4 linked regions of the Drosophila melanogaster genome follow. The protein of the gene in region 2 interacts with the protein of the main gene of each other region in a pairwise test. Each region holds a gene or a part of one and is shown on either strand. Other genes may lie near its edges. The genes, in order: Vha36-1, CG14818, CG15468 and CG10681.

Region 1 (5,741 bases), on a different chromosome or scaffold from region 2:
CTTGCGCGAGTTTTGTGTACCTATTTGTAATATTTAATGTCCTGCTAGAAGAATCCGCCTTCTAACTCAATTCGTTAATAAAGGAAGCCACATTAAGTTAGCCGCTCACTGTATATCTATCTCCATGAACTGATCCGCGTTGGACAGATGCACTGCCTGGCTGTGAGTGCCCTCCTCAACTACGTAGTTGGGTCCAATTATGCAGTTCTTCAGGACGGATCCGCTCTTCACCTGTGCTCGATGGCCAATTATGCAGTTGTCGATGTTGCAGCCCTCCTCCACAATCGCATTGGACATAATTAACGAATTGGCCACAATGTTTTTGGGACTGATGATGCAGTTGGGTCCGAAAACGCTGAAGTTCAGTGAAGTCTTTTCGGACAACTTGGCATTGTCAGCCGCTATGATCTCCTTCGTTTGGGTTGATTTTACCACGGCTCCAGGAGAGATCAGTGGATGCTTTTCGCCACACAGATTGTTCCAGATGCTGGCTAACTTGCGATTGATGGCCAAGAAGCTCAAAGTGTTGTTTACCCGCACACCTATGGCATCTCTGGGCGCCTGAATGCCATAGCAACGCACAATATCGCCATGATAGGGGGATTGGGATAGAGATTGGTTAAACAGTGAAGTCTGCGTGATCTTCTGGTCCAGAATGGTGTGGCCTACATACTGAAAGTTAAAGACATAATAGGATTTTATATGATATTCAATACGGGTATACGGGTACTAAAGGTAACCTGTTAATACCAAGTAGTAACTCACATGCAAAACATGATCCTCATTCTTGGTGACCACGCCCACTTCGGATGTGGTGTCCTGCACCGTTTTAGGAGGTCGTTTTGAGTGCTGCTTCTTTATCAAATGCGGCAGAAATTCGCCCTTAAAGGTTGATATATTTTCCTTCTGCAAAGATTGAATATTAGAAAACAATTTACTATAAGGTCATATCAAAACTAACCCTTCGTAGATAATCGATAACCCATTTTTTCAGCACATAAACATGAGCATCCACCAGTCGGCTGTATACATCCAACCTTCCGCGGTTCTTGAGCAGATGTCGCTGGATGTTGAGTGTTTCCTCGCAGTCACTGGCGGCGGATACGAAAGCCAATCTCTGAGTGGCCGCATGGATGCCAATCAAATCCCTTTCCGGTTTGTGCTTGCTTTTGGGACCGGGCATAACAACGTCCGACTCAAATCCGCTGGGAAATAGGAGCATTGCAAGGGCGGCATCATGTTCCCGAAACTTGTTGATCAGCGGATATAGGCTGACATTGCTGACCAGGTCGCAGCTGACCACCAGAAAGTCCGACTTGATCTTATCGTATATGTAGCGCAGACTGTCGGCAGTTCCGAAATCCCCGTCACTAGGAATCGTGGCATAGTCCAGTCTCAGCTTTAAGGGAGTGTTTTCCAGAGCAGATTGGATCTCTAGTTTTTCTTGCTCCAGTACCACAACAATGACCTCTGAAATATTTTTCAATTAAATCCAGGTTTTTAATTCAGACTATCCGAATTACCTGTAAAGTTGTGTTGTTGCAGCAGATTTAAGGGATACCAAATCAGAGGATATGGACCCACCGGCAGCAGGCATTTGGGGGCATCCCCCAAGACCTCGGGTAGACGAGTGCCACGCCCAGCGGCAAAAACTACGGCCTGGAACTCGGTCATTGTTTCACAAAAATATAAATAATTTCGGCTAAAAAGCGTGCAAGCACAAAAAGAGCCACGCAAACAGCTGATCCAATGCAAGCGAAACACCTACGAGCGCTGTCCAACACTGCTTCCAATCAGACATATGTTTGCTGTCATGTGACTGTGCAATTGTTTTTGTTGCTTTTGCTATTGTATAAAACAAGTCAGATGACCCTTTTTGCAATGAAAATTCCCTTTTTCCACTTAATTATTACACAGAATGCACATCGTATGATACAACAAGACTTTAATGCATGATTTGCGCAGCTTACACTACACTACAAAAATGGAATACATACTTTTCTGCTTATTGGAATAGTCTACACACTTTTGCTACATAGGTACAATTAAGTTTGTGGCTTGCCCTTTGCGAATTACAATATGGAAACGGATACAGAACAGAAAATAGTTTAACAATAATATTGCTGGAATAAACACATCCAAGGTAATACTTAGAACAGCACGTCGTCATCGCCCTCATCCAGGATATTGGCCTGCTGGCGCACATCGATGCCCTGCTGCAGCAACTCCGCCTTCTTGGCGTCGGCCTTGATGCGTGCCTCGCGCTTCTTGTCCTGGATCTTCTTCAGTCGGTAGAACTCCTCACGCTCGAGCTCGTCCAGCTCCGAGATGATGTAGGCCAAAGTCCTATCGATTCGGGGGATGATCACATGCTCAATGGCGTTCACACGACGGTTGGTGATCTTGATCACCTCGTCCAGGGTGACGAATGAGGTCTGCAGCGAGGCCAGCTCCACGAGCAGTTTAACGGCGCTTTGGTAGTTCTTCTTCAGCTTGGCCAGCTGCTGACCACCACGGGCTAGACCGGCCAGTTCGTAGGTGTCGGATCCGTCCTGGTAGGACTCGAAAACGGGCAGAGTGACACCAGCCACGTTGTCCTTCTTGGTGCGGATCTTGATCTGGGCCTTGGTCACGTTTTGCAGCACCACTTGGTTGATGTCGCCAGACGTGAATTTGGCCTCCGCCAGCGAGAAGGCTGCCTCTTTCATAACATCACCCATCAGGGTCTTGGTCTCGATGATCTTGCCCAGAATCAAACGGAATCGCATCTGCAGGGCATCCGCCTTCTTCTTGAGCAGACCGTGACCTTTCTGGGCTCCAGCCAGACGGGCCTTCATCAACATCTGGGCACCACGGGACGGGAAAATCGGTAGCCTATCTTTTCCGGACATTTTGCTGTTTTTTTCGGATGGTAATTGGCTGGACTAAACAATTTTCAACTGCGTATCAAGAAAACTGCAACCGTCGCAGAACACTGAAAAACTCCAACTGGAAAATGACGGATGACAGTGTTGGCTACTGCCCGTAGCCAATCGATAACCAGTTGGTGCTGGGTAGTGCGCTTAGATACAGTACTGCAAAATACGCAGCCACAGCTGATTTTGCATTTAAAAGTAAACAAATCTAATAAATTCCATTTCTTTATTGGATTTATAATGCTTCTGCAACGCGTGTGGTTGACACATTTAAACAACCATCTACGCCAATACGCGAACAAGTCGCGAGCCCACATCAAACCAGCCATGGCCGTGAGCATGCGGATGGTCCATCAGGAGATCCTGCATTATGTAAACCCCTTTGCCAGGATCAACGTGAAGTCCGATGTTTTCCTGCGCATCCAGCCCGCGGATGTGCATCAGTATACCAGCGGGGATGTGTTTATCGCCCAACTGGTTGGCGGCCATGTCAAGAACTCGAATGTCTCTCTCGATGTGAAGGTAACCGATGAGGACAAGGTGGTCAATGTGGTGGTTAAACAACTGGCGGAGCAGCCCTCAAAGCTTGAATGCCATCTGCAAATACCTGTGCGTTCCGATGTCTCTGTGGACGCAAAAGGTAGTGTGCGAGTGGAAGGCATACAGAGTGAACTGCTGCAAGTCAAAGCAAAGGAAGGCATCCTTACCAAAAATATCAAGGCCACCCATATAAACTTGTACAGTGAAAATGGCAACATCAATTGCCAGGGCACATTGCTGGGCAAGATTACCCAAATAGAGTCACAAAATGGGGTGAGAAAAAATTTACTATCAATCTGATCTTATTATTAACCTTTATATTTCTTTTTTAGAACATTGCGATGGATAAGTTGCAAGGAGACAGCTTGAATTGTTCCACCAAAGCTGGCAGTATTGTAACCGATTGTTGTTATGTGGAAAAGTCAAAGTTTCAGACACAAACTGGGCGTCTGGAGCTCAAGAATGTCCACAAAAGCAGCGAAGTGCACGTCCATCAGTCGTCGGATCTCAATATGAGTATGCGAAACAACGAAGAATAACACCATCATGCTAAAAACTTTCAATTTCAGCTGGAGTACATGGCAATATTCAAATAACTACCAAAGGAGGAAATTTAAATGTCCAACTCTCTGAGCTAGTGGGGAGCAACAAAATCGACGCCGAGAACTTATTAGAAGAGGCTATCATACACATTTCCCAAGCCATAGAGCAGAATCTTCACATCGAGGTAACAGCCCCCGAAGTGAAATTGGAAAACGAACTGGAGCATGTAGCCCATGCTCTCAACGAGAGCAAGAACAAATTCGTGCTAAGCAATCCAAATACAAATCGACTGGAAGTAAGCAGCACAGGCGACAAGGGCGTGCGCCTGGGAAAACAGTCATGGAGCGATATGATGCGTAATAAGTTGAAGGCTACCGGCACCTTGGACGATTTACCTTAGGTAAAGACAGAGACTAACTAAGTTAAGAATATATTGTGCTGCAAGCTACAATCTCAGTCATTTTTGCTTTATCCATCATGGAGGCATGTTGTTTAGGCTTGGCCCGACTCCTTAGCCACTTTATCCTTTAAGCATTCAAGTGCCCTTGAGAAAATGGCTTCTTCCTTTCCGGCTTTGAGTGCAGACACAAACAGTTGCACCTTTTCATCGCCAATCTCTTGGAGATCCGAGTTTTCCGCTTTTATCACCATACATGCCAACAGGCGCAGCAACTTCAAGGCGTTCTCCACATACTGCTCCTTTGGAGCGTCATCCTCCTCCTCTTCGTCCTCTTCGAACTCATTGGCGTCGGGATCACTTCCCCCCGTGTAGTTGTCAATGTGCTGTTTAAGTCTATACCACAATTCCAAAAGATTTAAGAAGGCCTCCTTGTGATAGAAGTACTTCAGGCGCTGCAAAAATAAATATTTAAATAGAACGTCGAATATTAAGTATCTTTTCCAAACTTACACTCCAAATGTGCGCCAGATCCTCGAGATACTCCTCCTGGCGTTCGCCTAATGGAATGAGTTGCAGAGGCTGCTGCAAAAACTGCAGTATTCGCGCTAGACAACTGACTATACTGGGTGCATACACATCCATGGAGGCCTGCGCCTCTGGCAGTTGGACCAGAATGGTGCATATATTGAGGTAGGTTTGTATGATCTCCACATCACAGGTTATTTTTGGTCCGCACGAGTCGTAACCGACGTCGGCATCTTCATCACTGTCGTGGGCCGCTGGCACTTCTGCATCTTCGTTGTCCTCGCCAGCTTCCTCGTCGGTCAATTTTGTCTGATCATCGCGCATGAGTCGCAAAAACGCGCTATTGACCCCCTCGCAGAGTTCTGGCACTAGAAAGACCTCCGCAAAAGGCTTTAGATTCAACGTGGAGTTTGCGTTTTCCTCCTCCACCAAGGCGCAACTGGCCAGCACAGCATTTGTGGCCTTCAGTGCAGCTACTAGCAGTTCATCGCTAACGGACAGTTGCAATATCCTGCCCAGGTTCTGCGCGGAGTTCTCAAAGGCAGCAAAGCAGATGTACCAGTTCACAGCGAACTTCTCCTTGCCGCTAAGCACATGGGCCATGATGTACTGAAAGAGTCGCATCAGCTGTATCAACATGGCGGTGTCCATGCAGTATGTCATCTTGAACAGGGTTTCCAACGTGTAGCGGTCACAGGCCAATATCTCTGCGCACTCCACCTGGGCGCACATATTGCCCAGCAGTCCGATAAGAATCTCGTAGAGCCGCACATCTTCACAGCCCGCCACCAGGGTGTACATGATCGGATCAATGGCTC
Region 2 (5,168 bases):
ATCACGATGGGTGCAGGAGCAGGCGCCACGACTGGCGCCGGATTAGGAGGCTCTGTGGCAGATAATGAACTGAGCTCCCTGGTTGTCCACCGGAGAGTTTTTGTCGATCGGGATGAAAACCGTCAGGTGGCCACCGTCATGCACTATTCAGAGCTAAGCAACCTGCTCCGTGTGGGCAACATGACGTTCCTGAACGTGGGTCAGTTACTGCCGCATCAGCTGGAGGCCTTCCACACACCCCACTACATCTACCCCATTGGCTACAAGGTGGTAAGTACAAGTACCAGCCGGTCGGCCGCCATGTTTATGAACAGCAATCTTAAATCCCGTTCCTCTTCCTCCCCCATAGAGTCGCTACTACTGGTGCGTGCGACGACCCAATCGTAGGTGTCGATACATTTGCAGTATCGCAGAGGCCGGATGCAAGCCCGAGTTTCGCATCCAGGTGCAGGACGCCGGCGACAAGGAGCCGGAGCGCGAGTTTCGGGGCAGTTCGCCCTCGGCGGTCTGGCAGCAGATTCTGCAGCCAATCACGCGACTGCGTAAGGTGCACAAGTGGTTGCAGCTCTTTCCCCAGCACATCAGTGGTGAGGACCTATTTGGCCTAACGGAACCGGCCATTGTGCGAATCCTGGAAAGCCTCCCGGGCATTGAGACGCTCACTGACTACCGCTTCAAGTACGGTCGCAACCCGCTTCTTGAGTTCCCGCTAGCCATCAATCCGTCTGGAGCGGCGCGTACGGAACCCAAGCAACGACAGCTGCTCGTCTGGAGGAAGCCGCATACGCAACGCACGGCCGGCAGCTGCAGCACGCAGCGGATGGCCAACTCGGCTGCGATTGCCGGAGAAGTGGCCTGCCCGTACAGCAAGCAGTTCGTGCATTCGAAGAGCTCCCAGTACAAAAAGATGAAGCAGGAGTGGCGCAACAACGTCTACTTGGCGAGGTGAGACATTAGGTCCTAGTCAATAACCACTGATTACTTAAGCTCTCATTTTCTAGATCTAAGATCCAGGGTCTTGGCTTGTATGCAGCTCGGGACATTGAAAAGCACACCATGATAATCGAGTACATTGGCGAGGTTATCCGCACCGAGGTCTCCGAGATACGCGAGAAGCAGTACGAGTCCAAGGTGGGTTTCGCGACCATGTTTTCTTGTAACTTTGACTAATCTCTGATTCCCCAGAACCGTGGCATCTACATGTTCCGGCTGGATGAAGACCGCGTGGTGGACGCCACTCTAAGCGGCGGGTTGGCGCGCTACATCAACCATTCGTGCAATCCCAACTGTGTTACCGAGATAGTGGAGGTCGATCGCGACGTGCGGATCATAATATTCGCCAAGCGGAAGATCTATCGCGGCGAGGAGGTGGGTCCCGCAAATAGAAGTGTTTCGCCTGTACCTTAACTCACAATATCTCTTAAATTCTGTGCTTTAGCTCTCGTACGACTACAAGTTCGACATTGAGGACGAGTCGCACAAGATACCGTGCGCCTGTGGAGCGCCCAACTGTCGCAAGTGGATGAACTAGAGTCGGGAGGAGCCTCTAGCGGAGGACCAAAGGAAGCGCAAGAAGCGGCGGCGAGCACGTCGCTCCCAGTGAACAGGAACAGGAGTAGAGACAGGAACAGGAACAGGACTTGTATCTGATCAAGTAGCTAGATTCGCTAAGCATTATAGTTCGTGTACATTTATATATATATATATATATATATATATATATTTATATATATATAGTTTATATGCTATATGCAGATATGCTCGTGGAGAGCATATGACCTTGTAAGTTTTGTATATGTGCCCACTGTAGCCAATTCGTATCCTTTATATCGCTCTTAAGTGCAAAAGTGGAGAGTGTCTTCATAGTTTAAATTGAATAATTGCTATCGTTTCTACATAGAAAGAATATAAATGTTACTGCTAGGACACGACCACCCCTGTAATGTATTTCGGACCCCCTCTCCTCACACAGTCGCTGGAGCACCTAATTTTATTTGTTTTAGCACCATCTCCACATTCATCACTACCACCATTGCAATTATCGCGAGGAAACTGACCGCCCCGATGGCCAACCCAAAACTTGACTTTATGCGTGTGTGCCTTCCCCTCTGTTTACCATTATTATTATTATCATAATTGTAGCGGTTATCTTTCAATATTCGGCCACTTTACATGGGGAGCGATCCTTCTTTCGCTGCGTGTATCGTGCGCAACCTTCTTTGAATATATACACTGATAAGGATATGAACACCTACTTCTATTTTATTTTATTTAAATAGTTTGCGATTACTTTTAAGTACATTAACTAACTCCGAACAACGTGTATTTTTCATCCCCTTAAATAGTAGCTAAGTAAATTTTATGCCACCATTTTACGCACGTGATCTTTTATTCCAACTTATTGCAAACGGCAAACTGGAAATTACGAAATGGGGACGACAGATATTGCACCTAAGATCTTCGCTTGGCCAGCGCCAGAAGCCTCTGGAGCTGGACTGCGGCAGCCAGGGTGAGTATGTCGAAGTTCTTCAGGTACCAGGAGATGTTGTACATGATGTGGATGCGCCAGTTCTTGTCGAGGAACGCTTTGTAGAAGTGGCTCATCTGGTCCGCGGACACTTCGCTGGTTCCGCTTTCCTTGTGCAGGCGGATGAAGTCTTCCTTTTCCTGTAAACGAACCAATTCGAAAGAGACGACATTAGCGGACTAGAAAGAGATGGCACAGTGGTCGTGGTTGTACCTCGTAGAAGCGCTTATTGTGTTTTGTCCAGAAGTCCGTGTTCCATGCCTCCACCTCGATCCGCTTAAGACGCAGGCTTCTTGCCAGCCGCGTCTCCTCATCGCCGTAGTGCCGTACGTACGGACGTAGGTTTGATTGCGCGTCTGGCGGTCCTATATAGTCGCACTTCACCGTCTTGGGATCGGGCTTGTGTGGCAAACCGACGACGGGTTTTTCTTGTGGCGGTGGACATCCCGGCTGCACTGCGGCATAGCACCGCGGTAGCTGTGTAAACAAGAAATTGAAAATCCGAATCCTATAAGGCAACACACTCATGGACTCACGCTGAACTGGAAAAGCGATATCCGGGGCTGGCACCTAAAACATTTGTTCATTTTTCGGTTATGTTATGTGAGGTGCAGTGTGGCCGACTGTCACGCTAGGCAACAGATTAAATATTGATGCCAGCAAATATTACGGGCATTCGCATGCGATTCTCGACTGAATATCTGGAGTTCAGAAACCAGTAGCCAGTAGCCAGCCAGCTGATACATGTCGACAAAATCAAGAAACAGTTTCTTTTTCCAAAATGGTCGCATATTGCATGTTTCCAGTCGCAATTGAACCAATAGGAATGCAGCCTTGTGAACAGTTAGACCAAAGCTTAAGCAAGAGTATCAGAAGAGATGTGAACCCCTCTTGTTTCCCTGTTCGTGACACGCAATCGGCACGTCATGCTCGAGCAAATACCAAAATCCCTAGTAATTTGCTTGCGTTGTGAAAATAAAACGATATACATGCACATCTCTAAAAACAACGTAGAAACAGAGGCTAGTACACTTTCTGTTTATTATGCTCGCCTCATGATTGCAACAAGAAATCTACTGTCGCAATTCGATGCTTCAAAATTATTTCGGTCAAAATGGGCAAGATTATCGACTGTAGACACCAGGCGAACAGAAAACGTTGGAGTACGACCGCTGATCGCTCTGAGAAATTAAACAGCCGTTCATTGTCAGAAGGGGTCAACTCTGGCCAATCAACATTAAGCACTATGGGAAAGAACCGTTCGATTAAGTCCAGTCAACGCCTAGAGATACGTAAACCATTTGTTTCATTGTTCGTGTCACGAATTAGGCACGACATATGCGAATAAGCCAAAATTTCCCATGCTATTCCATTGGTACGTAAAAATAAAACGAGGCACGGGCACATCCCTAAAAACTAAGTGGAAACTTAGCTTTGGACTTTTGCAGTGGATTATGTTCGCCTAGTGTTTTGAGCTAAAAAGTGTTTTCGTAATTACAAAAACGTACGTATGTACTGAATTCCCCTATTAAGTTTTTTTTTTTATATCGTATTTGAACTGAGACCTATCGTTCTCTTCTAACCACCTCTATCGTTTATAGCTATCCCGTGACAATAAATCCAACTGGAAAAAACAAACGGAAAAACTCCGGGGAAAATTCCAGGGAAAATGTCACCCAAAAACAATCATGATCCCTCGTCGTCCGGCGACTCTGGCAACACCAATGTCCAGGAGGCGGACCTCCAAGGTGAGTTTTGACAGCGCCCCGTTTCTGCTCGGGATTGGCTCTAATGGAATGACCCCTACAGAGATGGAGGACGTGAACAACAGTCTGGACGCTCTCAGCTGTGCCCTGGACGCCGTGGAGCAGCGCACAGACGACATTATGTCCCAACTACGGGAGCTGCTGAACTCCAACCGAGAGATCCGTCGCCTGATTGCCGAGGAAAATGACAACGCTCCCGAATCGGGAGATGACAACATGGACGGGCAGGCGGGCAGCGAAGCGGCACCCAAGTAGATCCCTCTACGAGAAGTTATTGTTTTGTTCATCCAAATCGTTTTTAGGCACAATCAGTGCTGTTTTTTTTCTATTATCATGTATTTTTGTCCTAAGTCCTAAGTAAACGTAATTGAAAGCAAGCTTAAGGTTCACTATGTCTTCCGCGCTTTCTTGCGCTTTGTCTTCTCTGTGATTTCAGCCTGGCCATTGGTATCGCTAGTAATATACTTGAAAGCTATCTGGAACAAGCGCATTGACTGCGCTTTGAGGCGCGCATTCTCGGCCTGCAGCTCTTGCACTCTTTCGTCGCTTGTCTGTGCTGAGTCTGGCTGATATTCTGCATACGATTTTTCGGACTCAGCTTCCTTGGAGGCGGTTTCCATTGGCTCGGATTCAGGTTCTTCTTCTTCGACCTCGGAATCCTCGACATCTGTAGCTTTGGTTTCCGCCTCAATTCCTTCGTCGTCCTCGTTCTTTCCCGAACTCATGGACGCTATAAGTTTGAGTATTATCTCCTCATCCGTACCCGGATGACTTTGGGTGTAGTCCAGCTCCGGTGTCTTGCGTCCCCCGGAGTAGTCCGGATCGAAGAGCTCGATACAGTCATTCTCATCCCACGGACTAATCATTCGCTTTAG
Region 3 (6,029 bases), 3.1 Mb from region 2:
ATCATCGCACTGCAGAACCGTTTTAATTAGATGTAACCATAATAAATCATTGGAGAGCCAAAATCAAATTCAGCCAGGAATGCAGACGCATCGAAAGGGAATTTCCAGGTTGCCAACTTGGGTTACTCATGTAGGTACTAGGAAACACAGTGAAGCTTCGCCTGCACAACCTAAATGGAAATGCGACGCAATACATTTAGCAATTTAAAAATGTTCGATTGCAAAATACAGCATACCCAAAATATACAATTGCAAGTGAGTGAGCATGCCACTTAAGCATGCCACTCTTTGAAGTTCATCGAGCTGACTACAACTATGTAGGAGCTAATCCAACTTTGGGACCATTGTCCGTATTCCGTCTTCATAACTCTTTTAGTTCCCATGCCAAAGAGTGATGTTCTATTGACATGCAAGTTGGCAGTTTTGGCCGGGCCATAAATTTCTGGCTGGCAAATGAGATTTTGCTGCCCACCCTCAACGCCTGGCGGCCTTTGGAGCAATGGTTCCGCGTTGCGTTGCCAGCGTTCAATTCAATGGATTATTGTCTACCCTTGGTGGCTGTCAGCTCGGCTCGGCTCTACGGGTTCGTTGCTAGCTAAAGAGCTCGATCTATTAGAGCTCTTTCCGAGCTGGACTTAACCCACATTGTGGCCATTAAAAAGCCATTCCCCATTTTGCGAGGATGGCCATTTGACAACGCCCGGTGCGAAATGCAAAATGCAAATTGCACTGGCAATTGCCACACGCTTCATTCCGCCCCCTCATTTCCCAATTCCGTACCCTTCCTTATTCAGCTCTCGAATGCCCCAATCCTTGCCAGCTCAGACATCACCCACTGCATTTGCCACATCTTAGATAAGTGCATTGTGCATTGCATGCAATTTGGTTGCATGTATTGCCGGGCACAGCCGCAACAGCAGCAACATGCAACAGCCAGACCCAGCAACTTTGCCGCGCTCTTGGTCTTGAACTTGTGAATTTGCTAGACAACAAGCCAGGAGAAGCAGCCACCACTGACAGCACCAACAGCTCCAACAGCAGCAACAGCAGCAACAACTGCCAGCAGCAATCAGCGGCAAGTGAATGAGCTTAAATTGTTCCAGCCACGGTGGGCCCAAAACTTCATTTGCTCGAGTAAAAATCATCATCACTATATATGTTAGTAAATCTAGTACTATTATATAGTTGTATGCATATCACTTTCATCAGTATATGGAATATATTTCTTATCCTGTTTGTCTTGTAGTAGTGCCCACTGTTCAATAGCTGCAGGGTAGTTGATTTTCGGTCGGTTTTGGTGGTGGCCATGATGATGGCTTCGCTTGCTGATTCTGCAAACCATCAGCCCATCGCCCCAACGCCCCCTCATCCCGGCCACTTCCCTCAGCCACTGGATGGCATGTTGCTGCCTCAACGCCCTCAGTACGCTATTATATAGTGGGTATTTATGTTTGTATGGTATGTGTATATGTTGCCGTTGTTGCTGCTGTCTGGTCGTCTGTGGAGCATCAAGGCACTGGGGCAGCGAGGCATCAAGTTCGCAATGGGCGACATGAGATGGCTAACACACACACACACACACACGCGTGTATCTGTATACAACAGCGAAAAGATAGAGCGAGTAGCAACCGCAGTTACTTTTGGCTACGACTGCATAGACAAGCCTCAATTAAGTTGCAATTGCAGTTGTTGCTGCTGTTGTTGCTGCTGCTGCGACTGCTGCTGCTGCTGCTGCTGCTTTGTTGCTGCCGGGGAAGCGTTGGCGGCATCGGAATTCCACTCTGGAGCTGCCCACGCGCGCGCTGCTCGGCTGCCTGTTTTGCTGATAAAGTCCGAAATGATGTACTACCCATGTGCTGGTGGCTCATTTTGTTTTTCTTTTCTTCATTCTTCATACTTCGTCTCTTTCGCTTTCCCATTTTCCACTCCGCCAGCCTGCTGCCTCCCACTAGCACTATTTTTTTCTTTTTTTTTTTATCCCAGCACAGGAGCGCACTTTTGCCCGCGTATTCGGTTTGCATTTTACATTTTTGTATTTATTTTTCTTTGCTCTTATTATAACTTAATGATTTTCCTATTTTATTTCCTAATGATAATGTGCTTTCTCTATGTGCCCTTGAAATTGTTATTTTGGATTATTGCTCCTTGGAACGGTGAACGTTTCGGTGGCATCAGTTAGCTCGGTTAGCTCAGTGTTGCCAGTTCCATCGGCGATTAGATTGGATTGACGCGGCGTGGTCGAGAATACGACTCCGAATCGTTGAGCCTTCATCTTGATCTGGTCCAGTCGCCCATCGATTTCGGAGAAAATTTCCTCGCTTAAAACCTTCAACTCGGCGATCTCGTAGCGAAAGTCGTTGATATGTCGAGCGATCAGGGCATGTCGTAGATATCGACGGCTATAGCGAAAGCCACTGGACATATTCGTTTTGGTCACGAGCAGGGCCATCTTTTTGGTAAGCTTGACGGCGGCCAAGGAGCGATGTCTCTGCTGGCAGTTGCTTAGATCGTTGGCGCACTCCTCAGTCCAGGCCAAGTGGACGCGGTTCTGTCCCCGAATATCGGCAATTCGTCGCTCTAGACACGTCCACGTTTCGCCCAAACTGCGCAACATATTCCGGAGGGCATCGTAGCGGCACAGGAGTTCGGTTAGTTGGCACTGAATGTGATGCTGGGCACGTTGAATGCACCGTATCTCCGATTGCTTCGCATTCAGGCCACTGCAGGAGATCGGATCCTCTGGCATTACCGATGGTTGGCTAATATCCTCCAATTGCTGATTCCTGCGGAGTTGACTACGCAATATATCGATTCTTTTCAATATCTCGTCCAGACCCTGAATGGTAATCAGGGTTTTTGTCTCCTCATCGGTGGTTATGCCCTCCTCGCCCATTCCGCATGGCAGTATTTCCATCTCCTCCTCCTGTGAGTCGGTTTCCTCATCATCTGGTACTCGATCCAAGGAAGGGCCTAACCTCTGATAGCCTGGCGAAATCATCTGCTCTCCTCCCAACTGACATTTGGTGGTCGTTCGCGCTATGATATCGATGTCCGCCAGATTCGCCTTGTGACAGTCGCCCAGATCGCGCAGCAGATGAAAATCCTCGTCGAGCGGATAATCCCTTGGTTCGCCATCATTGGTAGGTATCATCTTCACCTTATCCATTTTGTTTTTATTAATTTTTTTTTTTAACAAAGTGTAGATTTAAGTCTGGGTGTGTGTGCAATATGTGAGCGTTAAGGTAAAAAAAGCATAGCCCACTTAAATTGGGTTTTTCAAACTCTTAGTGATTCCTTAGTGATTTTAAAAACCACTCCAAACCGCTCCTGTCTTTTTGGCCCGGCGCTGATAAGAAAATTTATGGCTGCTCAGTTGCTCTGGCGGCATAATTGCGCACCCACATCCAAATCCGCAGAAACATCCACTCCACTCCACATGGAGTCCGGCAGTAGAAAACGAAAGAAAAAAAAACAAAAAGAAACAACGATGAGTAGGAAAAAACAAAAGAAAAGCAGAGAGCTGTGGGCCAGAGGCTTGTGGGCTGGCTTTTGGCGTGTGGCTTCAGCGGCAATTCTTCTAGTCAGCCCTCGCCTCCTTTCTTACCACGCTAGCCACCATTACCATTGAGCCACCATCAACTGCCGGCAGTTGACTTTGTTTACCCGCAAGTTGTAATTTTCTGCGAAAACCGTCAGCCGCAGAATTGCTTTTCTCCATCTCCATCTCACAAAGCTCAGTCTTCTGTCTCTGATAAATCCCGCTTCTGTCGTCTGTCTTCCACTCAGTCACCCCTGTTCGCCGCTTTTCCTTCTGGGCTCCTATTCCATGCTGCCCCTTTTCTTCAATTGCAATTGGTGCCCCCGACCGTGGTCTTGCGGTGATCTTTCTTCTGGGCCCTGCCTTGCTAATTGCTTGCCAGAGATTCGGGCCTCTACTGCATAGGACATCAGCCCAAAAACCATTCGAGGCAGTGAACAAAATTGAAGTAGCAAATCTTCTTCAGAAATTAGAGATATGATTCAAAATTTATAGGCCAGGCTCTATATAATCTTGCATTATTATATAAACGAACAATTGCTGAGTTATTTTTGTATGTCAGAGAAATATCCGAATATTGCGTTCAGTGTTTTTTCTTTTTCCACGCAACATCAGCGATTGACAGGCTTTTAGTCAACTTTGCTATTCCATTTGGAGCCATCTCACCATCGTGGCATCTGCTGAATGCTGAATTGTCACATGTGGAATTTCGCAGGTCTCTAAGAAACGTTTAGGCATGTGAGCTGCGCGATAGGATGGATACGAAGGCCCAAGAATGGGGTCAGGTTAAACAAATATTTGATGGAGCCTGGGCAGGCATTTAAATAACATGAAATATGCACTGAACTAGCTGCACATAGCTGCAAGAAATGAGACTGAGATGAGTCCAAAATAATTCCTGCAAGAAATGCGACTGAGATGAGTCCAAAATAATTCCTGCAAGAAATGAGACTGAGATGAGTCCAAAATAATTCCCACAACTTACTAATACTAATAATGTGCTTTATTTTATTTGCATTTCATGGGTGCAAAACAAAAAAAACAAAAAAAACGAATGAATTAAGAGGACTGGCGGCGTCGAGAACTATACCGCTAAGATGCCTAATTGCAACCAAGACGAGTAATGACCGATGATGGCCATAAAAGTTCACATGATCTGCTGATCTCCCGGAGGCCTTGGTCATGCAGGAAGTTCAAGTGCGCGAGAATGGGTATACGAACAAGGGGAACGGAGTAAACCCCCCCCCAGACATCCAGACATTCAGACATTCATATATTCCGACTTGAGTTGCCCCAAGTTGACTTGACTCTCAACCTGGCGCGGTCAAATCTTCGCAGCTCCGCAGCTTCGGTAGCGAAAATCAGCAGCACCAGCAGAAGACTCCGAAGAAGATAAGCGATCATAAAATAAAAATAATAGTAATAATAATAATAATGAAAAGCAACAAAAAAAAAAAAACAGAAAGAGAAACAACTGGGAGAAAACGAGTAGCGAATAATGCAATATACATTAGATATAGAACAAGTCTATAGAAAATTACGATTTATGTAACAAGTTGAGGAATTCAAGTGCATTTATTTCCGCATCTGGAACTAAGTGGAGAAGCCAGCGCATAAAAAATAATGCCAAACACCGACTGGATCGACATGGTGATATCCTGTAGAAAGAGTTTTTCATTCGCAGATTTCCAAGCCAAACCATCCACAAGTGCGTTTGTTTTGCGCTGAAGTATTAGTTTACATATTTGGTTTATTTCAACGGATAAAGTTACCATCTTGTCGAATATACTCTTTATGGCTTGCAAATAAAAAGCAGCAACACCGATCAAAAGCAAAGCAAAGAAAGCGATTTTCCGATGTGCTGTGCGTTGGGGGAGTGGGGAACCAGTGGGGTCTAGGATCAGATTGGATAGGATGGCATCGGATCGGCTCGGATCGGATTGGTGCAGTGCATCCATCAGAGCAGCGCCATGAGTCAGTCAGTCAGTCAGCCATTCAGTTAGTCAGTCAGTCAGTCAGTCAGTCAGTTAGTCAGTTAGTTAGTTCGTCAGTCAGTTATTAAATGTGACCATAAGAAATAGAAACAACACCAGACACAGGCGGATGATAAGAGGGCAGTTACGGGGAGTTATTACATAACAGCGGGCACAATTGCGAATGGGAAAAAAAAATAAGGAACGATGGAAGATGAGATGGCAAAAGAGGTGGACTTGTAAAAATCATAGCGCTGCTAAAGCGTAAAGGCAAAGAATTATAATTTTCCAATCAACTGATAAATTTTTAATGATGCGACGGGCCAGAGAACTTGAGGTTGCGATGGGATGGTATGGTATGGTATGGTATGGGTTGGTATGGGATCTCTAATATGTTGTCCAAAGTGCATGCTGGAATCCCACTGCGTTCTGCTGATCATGATCATTGCCAGCTGGTAATGATCATGGTATAGACGTTTGGACATGTGTTAGAGACATTCCCATAGGTGTGATTGCCG
Region 4 (5,491 bases), on a different chromosome or scaffold from region 2:
AAGCCAAAATTGCTTAACTGCTTGCGGCAAATGCCCTCAACGCGCTCTGGATCGTGGAAAATGTTCCAAAGCTGCGCAAAAATATAATCTTATTGATAGATCTAGAACATATCATCATGGCATTTACCTTAGTGACCAAAAATATATCCTCTCGCTTGACCACACCTTCTGCGATCTTGTCCCGAATCGCCTTGCCCACTTCGGCCTCGTTTTGGTAGAAATAGGCCGTATCTATATGACGATAGCCCACATCAATCGCATGTTTCACAGCGGCTTCGCCTTCGTTGTCCTTCGACTGCAAATAGAGAATATCAAATTCATCATTAACCTTTCTCCTTTCTGACAGAATCAAATATGTGTTTTATAATGCGACTCTTGAGATCAGTATATTGTTATTTTCGACCACAGCAACACGTTCGTTTCGGCCAGGAAATTGTGAGCATATCGGAGAGCCGCGAATTGACAAATCGAAACAATATCCGAAATTATACAACTGATCAACGTCGCAAGGCACACGAAAGATTCGATAAACTTTGATAGAGACATTTAGAGAGATACAAATAATTATTTCCCCAGGTGAGCACTTAAAATGTTAATAGGATCATATCTAGCACAAAATATAGTATATTTATATATGATAACGATTGATATGATGACATTTTATAACATTGTAATATTGTACTAAAAAAAAACTAACGTAAAAACTAAACTATCTAACGAGATTCTATCTTATACATTTACATAGTTACACTTTTTTTCCGAACACTAAATATCTCTTGCTAGTACGGATAGTACTGATGATTCTTCGCTTTATCGAATTTCCAGATTCTGCGCCCTGTATTAAAGGTCTTCATTTGGAGCAACTCCTCCGGCGTTAGGTGGAAATCAAATATATCCAGATTCTCTACGAGATGGGCTCGCTGGGCAGCTTTTGGAATAGGTACCGTGCCAATATCGATCTGTAGATTTTTAGCCAATAAATATCTTTATCACTTTACAATTCTAAGGTCGTTTATACCAAGTATCTTAGGATGATTTGAGCTGGTGTCTTGCCGTATTTCGCTGCCAACGCCAGTAGCTTGGAATCAGTGTAGTAATCGGGCAGCGGATTGCAGGCTTTGGGACGCCCCAGTGGCGAATAGGCAACCACGGTGATATTGTGAAATTTACAGAGCTCAATTAATGGGACTTGCACCAATTCCGGATGACATTCTATTTGTAGGTTTGCCGGCTTGATTTGGCAGTTTTCCAGTAATCTCTTCAGCTGATTGGCATTAAAGTTGGACAATCCCAAGCTGCGCACCAGCCCCAGATGCACCAGTTGCTCCATACTTCTGTAGGTGTCCACATAGTCCACATCGCTATAAGTTCCAAAGATCAGTTTCTTTAAGCTTCTTGAATCTAAACTATGTATGTTTAGTTGTATCCCAAACTCACTTGGTCCTCAGCTGGCCATTCTCGTGGGGCATCAGATCTTCATCAGAGATGTAGTCCACGCCCACCGGCGAATGCATCAGATATAGATCTATATAGTCCACGCCCAGTAGCTTTAATTGCATATCACAGGCGTATTTCACCATCTTGGGTTCGTGGTATATGTCCCACAGCTAATTGGATATTGATTTTCGATCTATTTACATGTGCTGGTAACTATATATAACCCATCTGTACTATATCCTACCTTTGTGACCAGAAACACCTGTTCGCGTTTCAGTTTCTGGTCGCCAATAAGTTTAGCTAAAACCTTGCCTATAATGCCTTCATTCCTGTACAGATATGCGGTGTCTATATGCCGATAGCCCATTTCGAGGGCGTGGCACACGGCAGCCTCACAGCGAGACTTCTTTAACTACAGATAACATAATTAACTTTCAATTTCACAATTGCACTTAATTGGAATTGAATGGTAGAAATTTCCATAAACAATTTCTGCCTGCTGATTTATTAGCATCGCCGATGATAAGGACTTACATTGTAGGTTCCTAGGCCCAGAATTGGCATCTCGTAGCCATTGTTTAGCTTAACAGTCGGAGCGAGCTTCATTTTGCACGTTTAAATCAAGAATAAATAAGGAAATTCAATCGCTTAATAAAAAAAAAGCCGGTGAGCATAGTGTGACCAAAACGGCTTTGCGTAAAAATACCCAATGCCATTCTGCTAAGCTTTATTATTTAAATATTTTTAAGTGTTTAAATAGCTAAAGAAACTTTGATTTATATTAAATAGGAACAAATGTTGTCATAAAACAGTGTTAATTTTATGTTAAAAAGTAAAATGTTCAAATTTAATTACGGCAGTGCTTTTGCATTTTGGCAGCTTGCAGCACTGGTTTATAACTAGTACTTAAACAGCTGTTACGAAAATATCTTTTTTTTTAAGAAATCTAAACAAAAGAACTTTTAAAATAGATGGAAACATGAGATCCATTTGAAAACGTAAATAAAAATAGAAAAAACTAAAACTGCCAGCAAACGCACACAAAGCAGAGTTCAAGTTGTCGCAAAGAAACCTTGAGACCTTGAAAAGCAAGTAAACAAATCAATTTTTGTGTTCTCCCTTATTATAAACAAATAAATTCTAGGCTACAATGAGCCACTTGGGCCTTGCGGATGTGCACCAGTCCGAGGATGCCACTCCTGACCTGGAATCCTTCACTGGCTTCGGCAACTCCGCCGCCGAGGCCTTCATTCAAAGTCTCGCAGGAATGGTGAATCAGGGCGATGTGGAGACCATGATACGGGCTCAAAAGCAAATGTAAGCCATTTCATTTAACCAGAGATTATAATAAACATCCAAAATATATCCCACAGGCTGCAACGCTTTGAGAAAACCAACGAGATGCTGCTCAACTGCAATGCCTTATCGCAGAGTCGTTTGAAAAGTGCCAGCGAGGATTTCAAAAGACACGTGAAATGCCTGAGCGAAATGAAGAAGGATCTGGATTACATATTCCGCAAGATACGGATCATCAAGCAGAAGCTACAGTCGCAGTTTCCCGCCATTTACGCCGAAGTTCAGCCGCAGCGTAGCAGTTTGGCTGAGGAAGCCGAGGATGATACGGAAGCCCAGGCTAAAAAGACTGCAGAAACACCTGCTCCTGCTGCCGCAAAACCTGTCCTATCCACCAAGAAAAGTGCCGCCACCATAGAGTACGTGCAGATGGAGGAGGCAGTGGACAATGGCACTGTGGAGATCGAAAACGAGCTGATCAAGCGAGTTTGTTCCGTGGAAACTGCCAATCCCAATGATTCCTCCGACTGCACATCCGAGGATACAGGTTAAGCCTAATTAGCTTTAGTCCCTCGATATATTTATCTTCATATAATAACTTATTGGTTTAATATTTGTATAACCTGCTACTACATACAAGGACACAATTCGTTTAGTTAGATTTAAATGAAATATGCGTAATAATTTAAGAAACTAATGGCTTAAAATATAATCTGGTACTTGTACTGCTTGGGCACCTTTGAGATTATGACGCGACCATCGTAGCTGAGCGAAGCAAAGATCCACGGATCCACATTGCTCCACTCCGCGCAGTAAACGGAGTCCTCGTGCTGATCGAAGGTCTGCAGCAGACCATCTGGCAAGAGTTTGTGCCTCTCCTCGGCATCGGCACCACTGAAGTTGGACTCATCTAGTCCAGCCTGAACCTGCGTCTCCGAACTAACCGATCCCGCACACGTGAGCAGCACCTTGCAGTCACTGGAGCTGGAGAGGATCAGTTGGTCGTGGAATGTGTTGAAGCGAACGCACCAGACCCAATGCGAATGATCGGAGCGCTCGAAAACGGGAGCCTTGGGCATGCGACAGTCCCAGATCCTCAAGTAGCCATCGTCACCGCCGGTGACCAAATGGCACTGCTTGTTGGGATTGCAGTCCAGGTCACGGACCATTTGACCATGCGCATCGTTGATGCTCCAGGCACAATGCTGTGTATCCCGCACATCGTAGGCACTTAGATTGCCATCCTGGAGGGTGAGAAACTGGTGGCCCTGATGATGATGCGACCACTTGCCGCTGGTGAAATGCTGTGTGTGCTTTGCAGATCCACTGGATGAACCACTGGCCGGCACCTCGGCCACCACGCGAGTAGAGGACTCGGCCCGCTGCATCACAGCCACCTTGTTGTCCACCACACAGGCGAGTGTGTCCTGGTTGGGATGGAATTCGATGGTCTTCACACGTTCGCCCAGTGCTTCGGTATCCAGGACCTCAACCTGCTCCCACGGCAGGTACTCTGACTTCAGCTGCTCCGGATCGGGATTGAGATTCTCGGGCAGCGTAAACAGAGCCGCTTTGGTCAGCACTTGTGCTCCCTTTTGTACATTGTAGACGGAGGCCAGCAGGCGAGGATTACGCGGACAACTATTTAGTTTCCAAACTTCACCCAGGGCGTGCTCAAAGACCTGTTCAAAGTTGTATGTTTAGCTCATACTTTGATCATCCCAGATATTCACCTTTGATTGCACGGATCCCTGCTCCTCCTCGTACTGGATTAAGTGAACCTGATTGGTGGGCTTCAAGGAGTTGGTGGCTATGAAGAAGCACACATCGTTGCTCTCTCCGTACTGAGGTGTTAAAGCCCGCGCCTGCAGTTCGAGTCCGTAGATTAAGCTATTTTCATCCATTTTCCACGATTTACTCAATGTTTTGATTTCGCTGGATATCTAGGTACGCAACTTACGTACACTAAACGGCGTACCTAAAAGTGTTGGTAAGCATTTATCACAAGGTGGCAGCCCTCGATCATATTACAAAACAATATATAATTTATTTTAATAAAATTAAAATATTTACATATATAAAGAGGCTTAAATATATGTGATTTAATATATTAAGCTCAAAATATAAAATAAATAATATTGGTATTCAAAATCCATTGATATAATTTGGTTACACTTAACGTTATGCCTTTTAAACGTGTAATAATTATACATACTTGGAATAGTAAGCTAATTATAGTATTAAGCTTAATACGTTTATAATCTTTACTTACCTTTGAAACATTTTCCGTTATCTCTCGGCCAGTGTGACCGTTCGACCACGCCAAGAGAGCGTATCGACTCCCCCCAAAAATAAATGAAATACAACCCTGTGCCCAAACACAGTTTCTTCTCGTTCTCCTTCCATTTTGTTTTCACACAAAAGTGAAAAAAAAAATATCTGAAAAAGCAACAGACGCGTATTCCGACCGATCAAACTAAATTTCCACTATACAGTACATATAATCACAATTGAGAATCGAAAACCCGACCGCCACGAAGCGCGCTAAATTACACGCACATACTGAAAGCCAAACAGCGGATAGCACTAGCATCCTACATATATAGACGTAGATATATAGTCATGGCGCAGAATATCAGCCCCGAGCAAAGTGGTGGAGCAGGCGGCGGCGGCAGCAAGCACAGCGATGACTCCATGCCCGTGAAAGACAATCACGCCGTGAGCAAAAGGTGAGTAGCACATGGTGCAGCCTAGATAATCC

What was found.
Region 1: the proteins of CG14818 (region 2) and Vha36-1 interact in binary tests that used the Drosophila melanogaster proteins (3 or more experiments, as listed by UniProt).
Region 3: the proteins of CG14818 (region 2) and CG15468 interact in a two-hybrid assay, tested with the Drosophila melanogaster proteins (2 studies listed by BioGRID).
Region 4: the proteins of CG14818 (region 2) and CG10681 interact in binary tests that used the Drosophila melanogaster proteins (3 or more experiments, as listed by UniProt).

Annotation. Positions count from the first base shown.
Region 1 is NT_033778.4:15,538,687-15,544,427, reverse strand, and holds Vha36-1 (vacuolar H[+] ATPase 36kD subunit 1), read right to left. Parts: upstream 2,994-5,741; 5' UTR 2,892-2,993; coding exon 2,151-2,891; 3' UTR 1,930-2,150; downstream 1-1,929. Other genes in the region: eIF2Bgamma (eukaryotic translation initiation factor 2B subunit gamma), read right to left, coding at 106-672, 766-906, 962-1,470, 1,524-1,674; CG8187 (uncharacterized protein), read left to right, coding at 3,156-3,728, 3,788-3,971, 4,025-4,398; CG30467 (uncharacterized protein), read right to left, coding at 4,491-4,850, 4,909-5,741. UniProt on the Drosophila melanogaster protein: Subunit of the V1 complex of vacuolar(H+)-ATPase (V-ATPase), a multisubunit enzyme composed of a peripheral complex (V1) that hydrolyzes ATP and a membrane integral complex (V0) that translocates protons.
Region 2 is NC_004354.4:1,878,519-1,883,686, reverse strand, and holds CG14818 (uncharacterized protein), read left to right. Parts: upstream 1-3,912; 5' UTR 3,913-4,031; intron 4,032-4,106; exon of another isoform or gene 4,107-4,128; 5' UTR 4,129-4,196; coding exon 4,197-4,275; intron 4,276-4,336; coding exon 4,337-4,548; 3' UTR 4,549-4,668; downstream 4,669-5,168. Other genes in the region: trr (trithorax-related), read left to right, coding at 1-270, 350-945, 1,002-1,131, 1,186-1,368, 1,439-1,531; Coa8 (cytochrome c oxidase assembly factor 8), read right to left, coding at 2,452-2,667, 2,741-3,004, 3,064-3,114; CG14805 (uncharacterized protein), read right to left, coding at 4,683-5,168.
Region 3 is NC_004354.4:4,957,912-4,963,940, forward strand, and holds CG15468 (uncharacterized protein), read right to left. Parts: upstream 3,218-6,029; 5' UTR 3,167-3,217; coding exon 2,126-3,166; 3' UTR 2,018-2,125; downstream 1-2,017.
Region 4 is NT_037436.4:12,499,194-12,504,684, forward strand, and holds CG10681 (uncharacterized protein), read left to right. Parts: upstream 1-2,319; 5' UTR 2,320-2,525; exon of another isoform or gene 2,526-2,529; intron 2,530-2,581; 5' UTR 2,582-2,587; coding exon 2,588-2,754; intron 2,755-2,810; coding exon 2,811-3,282; 3' UTR 3,283-3,431; downstream 3,432-5,491. Other genes in the region: CG10638 (uncharacterized protein), read right to left, coding at 1-71, 128-295, 1,972-2,043; CG10646 (uncharacterized protein), read right to left, coding at 3,432-4,412, 4,464-4,634; vih (vihar), read left to right, coding at 5,353-5,459.